3 linked regions of the Cricetulus griseus genome follow. The protein of the gene in region 2 purifies or fractionates together with the protein of the main gene of each other region. This does not show direct contact. Links are inferred from orthologs where the notes say so. Each region holds a gene or a part of one and is shown on either strand. Other genes may lie near its edges.

The links. The genes of interacting proteins can lie anywhere in the genome.
Region 1: the proteins of Tom1 (region 2) and Zfyve16 purify together in Homo sapiens (affinity purification with western blotting; 3 studies listed by BioGRID and IntAct, with this or other methods). This does not show direct contact. The link is inferred for Cricetulus griseus from reciprocal best matches to the Homo sapiens genes TOM1 and ZFYVE16.
Region 3: the proteins of Tom1 (region 2) and Cltc purify together in Homo sapiens (affinity purification with western blotting, with the first as the bait; 3 studies listed by BioGRID). This does not show direct contact. The link is inferred for Cricetulus griseus from reciprocal best matches to the Homo sapiens genes TOM1 and CLTC.

The regions. Positions count from the first base shown.
Region 1 is NC_048595.1:311,272,459-311,275,975, reverse strand, and holds part of Zfyve16 (zinc finger FYVE domain-containing protein 16), read left to right. Parts: intron 1-236; coding exon 237-333; intron 334-2,973; coding exon 2,974-3,135; intron 3,136-3,517.
Region 2 is NC_048596.1:150,806,890-150,811,073, reverse strand, and holds the start of Tom1 (target of Myb protein 1), read right to left. Parts: upstream 2,811-4,184; 5' UTR 2,705-2,810; coding exon 2,653-2,704; intron 1-2,652.
Region 3 is NC_048600.1:99,946,030-99,949,546, forward strand, and holds part of Cltc (clathrin heavy chain 1), read right to left. Parts: intron 2,894-3,517; coding exon 2,748-2,893; intron 2,537-2,747; coding exon 2,353-2,536; intron 2,186-2,352; coding exon 1,993-2,185; intron 1,173-1,992; coding exon 1,015-1,172; intron 393-1,014; coding exon 228-392; intron 104-227; coding exon 1-103. UniProt on the Homo sapiens protein: Clathrin is the major protein of the polyhedral coat of coated pits and vesicles. Two different adapter protein complexes link the clathrin lattice either to the plasma membrane or to the trans-Golgi network.

The DNA.
Region 1 (3,517 bases), on a different chromosome or scaffold from region 2:
AGACATACCCAGAACACCTGGGCATCTCTCGTTCCACTTGATATAGGCAGTCAAGATTAACTAACATGCTTATTTAAGTTAAAGCACATTAAATAATTTATTTATGATTATGGTGGTTAGAAAAATGAATCATATAATAAAGAAAGGTTTCAGTTTATTAGGCTTTGATCTTCTATCCCCTGCTTCTAATAAATATATTTGAGACAAAAACAAATGTAGTGTTTTATTCTTTATAGGTATTTTGTGGTGTCTGTTGTAACAGGAAATGTAAGCTTCAGTATCTAGAAAAGGAAGCAAGAGTATGTGTAGTCTGCTATGAGACTATTAATAAAGGTGAGTATTAACCTGACATGTTTTCTTCCACTAAATGAATATATATTAAGAAAAACTGGATTGTGACAAAGATAAACTTCTTTATTTTCTTAAGGCAAGGACCTAGTGTTGACTTATCTGGCTTAGGTGGGACATCCCAAGGCTTGGTTTCTCTTTTTGTTCTACTCTCACAATTAACACTACCAGTCTGGAAAGAAAGCGTTCAGGTTCTGGAGTAGCAGTTCATTACCTTTTAACAGGTACTAAGTTCCTAAGTGCTGCATTTCATCCCCCTACTGTTTCATCATCATTGTCATCCTCATCATCTTAATAGAAACATTCATACAAGTAGCTACTTACTGGTTCTCAATATTATATATTAATGTTAAAGGCAAGGTAGTAGTTCTTATCGTTTAGATAGTTGCCTGAAATGAGAATGAGAGATAAGGTATTATATATGATTTTAAAAACTCATAGGACCACCATGCTGTTTGCACATTTTGGTCTCATCTTTTTCCATTTTCATTTTTAGAATGTTATGTGTGTGTTCCCATTGTTTCTTGGCTCTCTAGCTAGTTTCCATTTTTAGCAGTGGTTTTCTTTGAGTTCCCACAGGTTTTTTTGTTTTTGTTTTTGTTTGGTGTGTATGTGTGTGTGATGCTGTGCTTTCACCCCTAGATACATATCTGTTCTTTTGAGTAGTTCTTGCATTTTCAAAAATTTGCTGACCATTTAATTCCCAACGAAAATTACTTGACCCTTTTTTGGCCAGGCCTATGAACTAGCTCCTATTAGCCAGGAGAATAAATACCTGATAATAATTTGTTTTTCTCTTTTGAATGAAGATAAATTTTTTCAGCAATTCTCCAAAAAGCTCTGATGTGAGTCTGTTAGCCTGAGGTAAGCTGTTCTACTCCCTGCTGTTGACCTATACTCTGGAAGATAATAAAATATAATTTTTAAAAATATTTTTTATGTTATCACCATTGTTTATTAAGAAGCTACCTGCTTATAATTGTTTTTCTTCTTGCAGTGTATCTGTAGCCTAGAAGACAGCTGCCAAGGTTATTAGCCCAAACAGTTTGCCAAAATTCAAATTTTAGGGAAAGTTCTTACTTAAAAAGCCATGAAAATTTGAGTTAACAGGTCATTCTGACTATACAGTCCAAGAGAGAAAAAGATATGCTTATTAAAGAGACTTAATAGAATACTGAGATAAAATTATGGTCTATCGTCAATGATATAATGTAGAGGAATAGAAATGTAGCTCAATGTTAGAGTGCTTGTCTAGCATGTACAAGAGCACGAGTTTAATACCCATTAACACACACACACACACACACACACACACACACACACACACACACACGGAATGAATTATTTAGATACTTGTTTTCTATAATTATTTAGATACTTGTTTTCTATTTCAATATCTTATGTAGTTTTTATTTGAGTTTTTAATATTTTATTTATGAGCTATTAGTGGTAATATATTACAATAAAATGTCAACTATAGACTAGAAAATGATGGAAGTGATCATTTAAGCAATGCTATCAGATGTGAAAAAGATGATTCAAAGGTTGTGTGATGAAGTCAGTGAAGGAATGAAAGAAAAATTGAGTAGAAATTGTGGACAGTGAGAAAGTTGCTGAGATTGTGTGAGTTTTATCGGCATGTGAATGATTCTGATAGACTTGGAATCTAGAATGTGGATTTTACTGGTTAGTAGAAACAGTTTCCAAGAGTGCTGTCATGTAGTGATATTAAGGAAGATTGTAGCTGTGATAGCACTTACGGTCTTTCAGTTTAGAGAAGTGCTGAAGGTGTTGTTGCCAGTACTGCTCTTTTTTATTGAAAGATCATTCAGTGATATTCAGACACTATTCTGTATTCTGGAGTTCCAGCTGAGAACAAAATAGATGTTCTGTTGATGTGGGATTGTTGAATGTGGAGATAAGGGGATAATAAACAGATGGTAATAATACCCTAAACTTAAAATGTACAAAGATAGAAACAGATTAGTGGCCATAATAATGCTTTATGATAATATGATGTGTGACTAGGGACTTGAAAGAAACAGACTGGATCTATGTGAGAACCTGTAGAAGAACACTCTAGGCAGAGGGAGAATAGATAGCCCAAGCTGTACTTGCTGAACTTGAAGAACAAGGAGGCACAGGTCGCTGGTTCCTGGTAAGTCCTTGGGTTGTACTGAGAGATGAGACTAGGGATATAGAACCCATAGGACCTGTCATTCGAAAGACAACCTAAGTTTTACTCAACTAGAAAACCATAAAGGATTTAAACGGAGTGTTAAGGAAATAATTATTTAGGTCTTAAAGAATCACTCTGGAGCATGTTGCTAGTAGATTCTAGGAGTAAAAGGGCAAAAACAGAGATATTCATACTCAATAAGGATGATTTTTCTGTAGTAGATATCAAGCATATACCAATTAAAAATATTGAAATAACTTGTCTATAACTTACCAAAGTGGAGTGCTGCCAGCTAAAGAAAGGAGCCTGTACATCTTTGTCAAGTACCACTTTCTCTTGATTGGCCATTTATTTCTTTCTCCTTACAACTTGAAAATCAAATTATTATAGCTTTCTTGAAAGTTTAAAAACATGAGTTTTTAATACTATTCTTTCCCCCTTTATAGCTCAGGCATTTGAAAGGATGATGAATCCCAGTGGTTCTTGTCTTAAGTCTAATCATTCTAAAGATTGTGCCACCACCCAGCCACTTCAGGAGACCCACACATCCAGTATACCTTCACCTACAGCTTTGCCCATCTCAGCACTGAAACAACCAAATGTTGAAGGTAACCAGAGTAAACTGCTGTGGTTTACACGTAGGATTAGTTATTCAGATAGAAATGCTCTGGCAGTCAGAGCCTAGACAGGAAAGAGAAACCCATTAAGGTCAAGAGGGATGTATACAGGGAATTGGTTAAACATGTATGTTGGAGACTGAAGACCCGCTCAGGAGTCTCATAGACAAATAACTGCAGAAAGCTGCCGCCACCACTAGGACTGGGGGATGAAAAGGGAGAAAGCAATAGTAGCACTTAGAGAAGAATACTTGGTGGTGCTTAGCTCTCAGATATGGGGGTTAGGGGCTAAAGCACCATATGTCTGAAGCTGTGCTCTCTGGGAAAATCAGTATGACAAATACTGGAAGCATCAAGGGAGTTTCTTAGGGCT
Region 2 (4,184 bases):
TGCTCATCTCCGAGTTGTGATCTAACAAGTCTGTGACTATCAGGCAACACTTTTGGAATAAGTTAATAGAAAACTAGTGTCCACCAACCCAAGGGCTAGGAATGCCATCAGCTAGCACCTGAGAAGTGCAGCATAGATATTCGTGCTTTGCTGTATCCCAATTGCCTGATTTCTGGCTTACTTTTGTTTTCTGTAGCTACGAAAACATCATGAAACCATTTCCCATACTGGATCATGTTATTTGGGGTGATAGGAATCTGTGTTCCTGGGTCACAGCAATTCATATTTGGCTCAGGGATAAACTATCTCTGATTTCCCTTGAGGTGAGAGCTGTTTTGTGCCTACTGGAAGCAGAGTGACAAGAGAACAAAAGAGCAGCAATTGGAGCTGGAGTTAGGAAAGGCCGCAGGGAAGAGGTGATGGTGCCCAGTGCTCTAAGGGATGAGCCCAGCTCCTCCCAGAAGCAGACATTGTAGGCAGTGAGACCAGCAAGCATCAGGTGTATATGAATTGTGAGGACAGTGACACTGGGCCCTGATTAGCACCATTTAGTGATTGCTGTTCTCTAGTATGCCAATCATACAAGATTCTACTCTCAGGGCATGAAGCCAGACCTGAGAAGACACCATTTTACTCCTGTAGCAAAGGGAGGGGGGAGGGTCTGAATTACAGGAATGCAAGCACCTAAAACCTGGCCATCGATCATCACAGCCAGCCAGGCCCATTGGCATAGGGACAAGGTCTCTGATACTTGGAAGCTGATCAGGGAGGACTGCTTGGGTCCATAAGTTCCAGGCCAACCTGGGCAACAACTGAGACTCTATCTCAGACAGACAGATACATACCCCTTTCAATCTCCAGTACTTCTGTCTCTCTATACATGGAAGACTATGGAACACTGATATTGTTCAAGGTAGGGCTCTCTATGTAGTCCAGGCTGGACTTGAACTGAAAATAGTCCCACTTCAGCCTCCTGAGGGCTGGAATTATAGGCATGCTCCACCACACTGGGCTCTTTTACAGCCTCTTTAGTAGCCCTGGAAGGCTCATTTCAGTTGTGCTATCAATTCACTGGGTTTTTGGGTGAGTCTCAGTCTTCACCACCTTCCCTTTGTAGAACTCAATCCCCTCCCTTCAGTAACAGGACTTTGCAGACTGGTATTTTTTGTTTTGAATCAGGGTCTTATTCTGCAGCTCCATGCTGCCCTGAAACTCATTTTGTAGTCCAGGTAGCCTGAGACTTGGTGGCAATCCTCCTGTCTTAGTCTACCAAGTGCTAGGATTACAGGTGTGAGCCACCGCTTCTGGTGGCTCACACCTGTAAAATTTGTGGTCTCCTAGCCAATTGCAAAGAGCATTACTGGGAACTCCACAGATGCCAGTCTGAATCTGATGGGTCCAGCCAATTCTGACATAAAAAAGGCAGAGGGTCCAGTTGTGAGATGTAGTTAGCACTGAGGTATTGATATAGCACCATTCTGTCTGTCCAGAAGTATTTCTTGCCCAAGGAAGGCAACCTTTCAGGGTAGGAAGAGGTGTTGAGTTCTGAACAACTGATATGCACACTGAGCCTAAATAAGCACATCCAGAAAGTCTCAGGACTTTGTGGTTGGCTTTGAAGAATGGAATAATTAGCTTGTTTTTACATAGGAAGTTTGTGAAGAGGGTTGTCTTCTCTTTCCAGGTCACAAACGAGGACTCAAAGATGGGGCTTTTGCGAAGCACCTGGGTTTCAGGCACTAGCAATGCCCTGCAGAGAACTGATGAGAACCTCCAAACTTACAGCAGTGGCGGTTACAACACAAAGCTGGGCTAACGACTTCGGGGAAGCCTTGGCAGGAAGAATGCAAAGAATGCCTTAACTAAAAGATCCAGCCTGTTCAGTCTGGATCCAAGGAGAAAAGCCACCAAAAAGAATTACACAATGCTGTCGGGACCCTTCAGACAAGAAGAGGGGTCACACCCAGACCACCCATCCCTGGAGAAATGTCGCCACCTGAGTAGGTACTGGGAACCGGCACTTTCCCACGGGCTCCAGCCCCACAAGGTGGTACCACAGTGACAATGACAAGCATTAGCCATGTGTCAGGCAGCATCCTCAGTGCCTTGCGCTTAATAATGCATGTAATGATCAAACAACCCCAGGAAGGCCGGGCCACCGTCCCTTAACTACGGTCGAGGCGACGTCACACAAACCCGAGTCTCCCGACAGCGGGGACAGAGGCGTGGCCGAGCCCAGACACCTCAGGAGTCCCGGAATGTGAGGGGCCGGTGACGCGGCGAATGACCTGAGCGCGGCCAACCCGGGAGGGACCTTCGGCCTGCCCGAGCCTGGCGGCGGCGGGGCCCCACACCGGCTCACCACAGCAGTCCCTTTAACCTAAACTTTCTCCTTCTACTCCGGACCCCAGCACGCGCGCATTGGCTGAGCCACATCCGCCTCCTCTCCCTGCCTATTGGTCACCCTCAGCATCAATCCCCACACGAGGCTTCTGACTGGTCCGCAATCTTGTCAATCAGGTGAAACACAGGTGGGGCGGAGCCAAGAGCGCCGCGCCAGCCTCGCCGTCTGCCTCCCTCCTCCAAGGACTCCGACAGGTCCCCGGCCAGAGCTAGACAGGGGCGCGGCTGCGCGCGGCTCCCGGGACTCACCGATGCGTTGTCCCACCGGAGAGCTGAACGGGTTTCCCAGGAGAAAGTCCATTGCCGCAGCTACCGCTGCCACCAGCTCCCAGAATCAGGTGACAGCAACCGCCGGCGCCGCCGACCCGTCACGTGACCCGCTGGCCGGCCCGCGGGGCGGCGGCTCTGGAGCACAGCCCCGAGGCCCCGCCCTCCAGGCCACGCCCCTGAAAGGCCTCAGTTCACTCTGCGGCGGGGCCTAGAAGTCTTCACATCCGGAAACTGGGTCTCTGGCCAGGGAAAGACTTGGATCAAGTTACACAAACTCAAGCCCAGGCTGGTAGCAGGGTCTTAGCCTTTAGTCCTGGGGACGTAGCCCTGAGAGTAACAGCCTCCTTGACTTTTTGATGTCTCCCTGCTCCACGAGCCACCTGTGGGTAGCCCAGAGGAGGCAAGGGTCTGGACTTGTGCTCTCTTAAGGCAGCGAATGAACTCCATCTATGTCCAGGGCAGTTCTACTTGGCAAATGGGGACAGTGCTTTTTCTGCATCTGTTTCCCTCAGTGGTAAAGGGGGACACTATCCATAACGCTTTGAGAGTATTAAGATGACATGCAAATTGTTCAGTAATGGGCATTCAATGACGGTGATTTCTTCTTTGACTTATCCTTATAAGACATGTTTTAATTCTCTTTAGTGTGTGTGTGTCATGGTGAATACAGAGGTCAAAAATCACAACATGCAGCAATCCTCATTATGTAGGTCTCACAGACTAAACATGGCAGCTAGTACCTGTGAACCATCTCACTCCTCATACTCTGCAGCCTTTTTTTTTTTTTTTTTTAATATATACTCTCCCTAGGCTAGTCTCAAATTCAGATCTCCTGAGTGTTGGAATTACAGTCGTGATCATTAAAACCCAGCCTTTAACACCAGTTTTATTTTGTTACTTAAATTTTTTTAAAGATTTATTTATTATGTATACAGCGTTCTGACTGCAAGCCAGAAGAGGGCACCAGATCTTGACAGATGGTTGTGAGTCACCATGTGGTTGCTGAAAATTGAACTCAAGACCTCTGGAAGAACAGCCAATGGTCCCCAGCCCCCACTACTTATACTTTTTAACATGTTGTATTCTATTAACTTTTTTTAAATCATGAAAGGTCAAATTTCCACATATTTAATGTTCATAATATTACCAAACATTCACTTTGGGCCAGCTGGCTATAGACTCAGAGACAGCGAGTCTTTTTTTTTTTCCCCTTCAGACAAGACTCTGGAAGCTCCTGGGACATGGACTATATATTTTCAGCACAGGATTTTCATGCAACCCTGACAAAATACTGATGGATACTTGATTTAAGCCAATACCATAATGTATAGGGTTTCACTGGCCAAGCATTAGAGCCACAATTTATCAGGTTCTCTAGTTTTACAATATGCAAATGATACTTGGGAGCCTGAGACCCAGGATGGGTAAGAATATGAAAACTTGACCTTTATTCCAGGTTTTGGCTTAAAACTTTTTAAATATAAATTATGTGTATGTGTGTGTATCTGTGT
Region 3 (3,517 bases), on a different chromosome or scaffold from region 2:
AGTAGTTGATAAGTTCCTCTAATTCATCTGCATGTACTACAATATGAAGTCCACACATCTGAGCAAGACGGAATTCTTTCCCATCTACACAGGCAAAGCAGACCTAGAATATAATTTTCCACTATGAGAATCCAAATATAAATGCAGACAGTTATTTCAACTCAACAGTACAAACAGAATTTTCAAACAGAATCTTAAGTCATCATTCAAACTTGGATTTAGATTACCTCCTTCCATGTTCGAGTACTATTAGCTTTTCTAGCACCATCAACTGCTGCCTGATATTCACCAAGGTGAACAAGGGTAGATGCCAAGCGTCCAAAGTTAGAAACATTATTGTACAACAGCTTAGCAGCATCATACATTTTTTCATCATAACAACGGTCACCAACCTAGTGGGGAAAAGGTAATCCATGATCAGTAAAATAGAGGTCTCAGTTCAATCCCTTTTTCAAGTTAATATTTTTACACTGAGGAATAGATAGGGACATTGCATATGCTGTAATCCAGTACCCAAGAAGTTGAGTCAGGAGCACCCCAAGTTCAAGGCCACCTGAGAGATTCCATCTCCAAAATTACAAACAAAATGAATGAACACACACACACACTCTGCCTCTAAGGATAATTTAATTTCTTAGCACTAATGTGTTGATTCTTCCAAAATGATAAAATTGCTTACTCCTTGAGTTTGACATATGTTTAAAATGTGGAGCCAGTGAGATAATTCAGTTGAAAGGTACTTGCAAACATTAGGACCCAGTTCAATACCCACCACCCACATAAAAAGCCAAGTATGATAGTATGCACTGATGCAGTGACAAACCAATCCTTTATACATGCTGGCCAGCTGGCCTAAATTACCTTTTGACACCCAGGCCAACAATAAACCCTGTCTGTGTTTTTTAAGCAGATAGTGCCTGAGTGGTAAAAACAGAGCTTGGCCTCTGGCCTCTGCATGCACCTATATACAAGCATCCCACTAAACATACACACATATTTAAACAGGAAACCCACTTGCTGAATATGAGCATTATTTGGCCCATTGATGAACTCTTCTAATTCTGCAAGGCGATTTGTTTTAGCCAGCGCAAATATCAATTCTGTTTCAACATAGGATTCTCGAGCCTTCTTTCGGGCCATTTGCAAATACTTCACCAGTTCTTCCCAGTTTCCTAAATAAAGAGACAAATAAGCCCATAGATTAGCATCCTTATTTTATATCTCAACCAAATATATAAGATCTGCTATTAGTGTGTCGGCGCCCCCCCGCCCCCCGCCACCGTCAACTACAATTATTATTAATTTATTTTTTTGAGAGTGGATTTTGCTATATGCTTATGCTTGTGGATTTTGCTATATGCTTATGCTTGCTGGCCCAAATTGCTTAGTGATACCCAGACCAACAAGAGACCTTTTTTTTTTTTTTTTTTTTTTTTAAGTGGATAGTGCCTTAAGGGGGAAAACAGAGCCTGTCCTCTGGCCTTTCATGTACCTACACACAAGCATTCCACAAACACACACACAATGATTATTATGATGCCCAGGCTGTCCATGAACCTAAGGCCTCCTGCCTCAACTTCCCAAGTGCTAGGATGGCAAGTGTACATCACTTCAGCAACTTAACTCCCTTTACAAAGAAACATCACATAGAATAACACATAAAAATGAATATACCTGAAAGTATAAAAATTCCACTATACTTCTGTATTATTGACCCAAAGAATATTTGATACCTTCCCTACATGCTTCCTTTAAAGTTACATATCAGAGTTCTATCAGGATTTTATTAGACTTCAATACAAAATTAACCTCTGGGGACCTTCTAAATTCACACAATGCAGTCAGACTTTAGCTGGGTCAACATGCTGGGCTAAAAGCTTTCATAAGTAATAAAGAAGCATCTAACTTTCACACAATTAAACGTTAAGATATCCAAATGCTTGGCTTAGCAATTTTCTAAGATCTCAAAGGCATAAAGATTAGAAGTCATACCACTAGTATTGGCAGCCTGAACAACTTCCATGTAGGATGAAGGATCATCTGCTTTGATGTATGAATCAATGGCTTCCTTCACCATTCCTTTCTGCAACTGAGCTTTTGCAAGTTGACTCCAAACAGCAGGTTCATTGCAGCGTTCAGCAAACTCATATGCACGATCCAAGTTTCCAATATGTTCAATTAAGACCTGGGCAACATTTTTGAATTGGTGTTACAGTAAAATGGATCTTATTCATTATTACCTATAGCATTTTTGTGATTATTCTATTGTGACAGCAATCTGTGCATGCCATCATAAGGCAATGCATTCTTTACACAAAGTCATTATCTCAATTTATCTAATTTCAAGATTACCTGAACAGCTGAAGTATTGACATCAAACTTCCGGAAAATAGCAAATGCTTCTTCAAACAGCTCATTGCTGATGGCAATATTGGCAATATCTGGAGCATCATAATTATCCAGGCGGTTAATATACTCCATAACACGTGTTCGGTCAGCCTTAATTGCAGTGAGGATGAGGAGGTTTTGCAGATTCCTTTAGAAACCAAGACATTGAACCACAAAGTTCATAAAGCCCATCAGTGATAAGGAATAAACACTACGGCACTGGAGGGTGATCTGTCTCAGGGGAAAGCGTAGGAAGAGGTCAGAGTATCAAGGAGTAACAATTCAGAAAACTGCCTCCCCAAACTGACTGGCTGCAATCAAAGACAGCAGAAAGCTGGTGCAATCCTCTGCCAGCGTACCTGTGTTCACTGAATACAGAGTTATCAAGGACAATTTTCTCCAGCAGTTCAATGAGTTCATTAGGAAGATCTGCTGTCATAAAAGCCTTCACAGTTACTGACACCTCTTCTGGGTCCTGAGTTTCAGACAAGGCTGTCTGTACAACCTACAGATGATATACAGGGAATGGTTATGAAAAATCAAAGTATTTTTAAAAAGACATGGCCTATTAAGAATAGGTTAAATAACTTATTAGAAAACCTTAAATAGAAGAAAAACTACCTATAACTTCACAACGATCTTTGTACACAAACATGAACACACATTAATAATTACATTAACATGAGCAATTATGTAATTTTTACTTTCTCCTCATAAAACACTGTCCATAACAACACTTACCACTATTATTTTAATGGCTTCCTATTTTCAAATCCCTAGATATAGATTATAAATTGAACAACCCTGGTTTTAGCTACTTTCATATGCCCAGACGCCATGATGACTGCAGGAAGCTTTCTATCTACTTGAGAATGTGCCTTGGAAATGCTTCCCCGGGTTAGTGAAAAACTCAGAGGTAGTAATCTATTCTTCAGAGTGCTGTACCTCTTTGTCTATCAGAGGAATTTAAGAATCATTATAATAATGAGCAATAACTAGCACTTTAAATTTGAGATTGCAATTATCATATAGGTATAAAAACTTGTGTACTGTGGTACTTTAGTTAGATTCACTATGATTGATTTGAGCATTGTGTGTGCTATTAGGTACTATTACTGTGGTTGTGTGC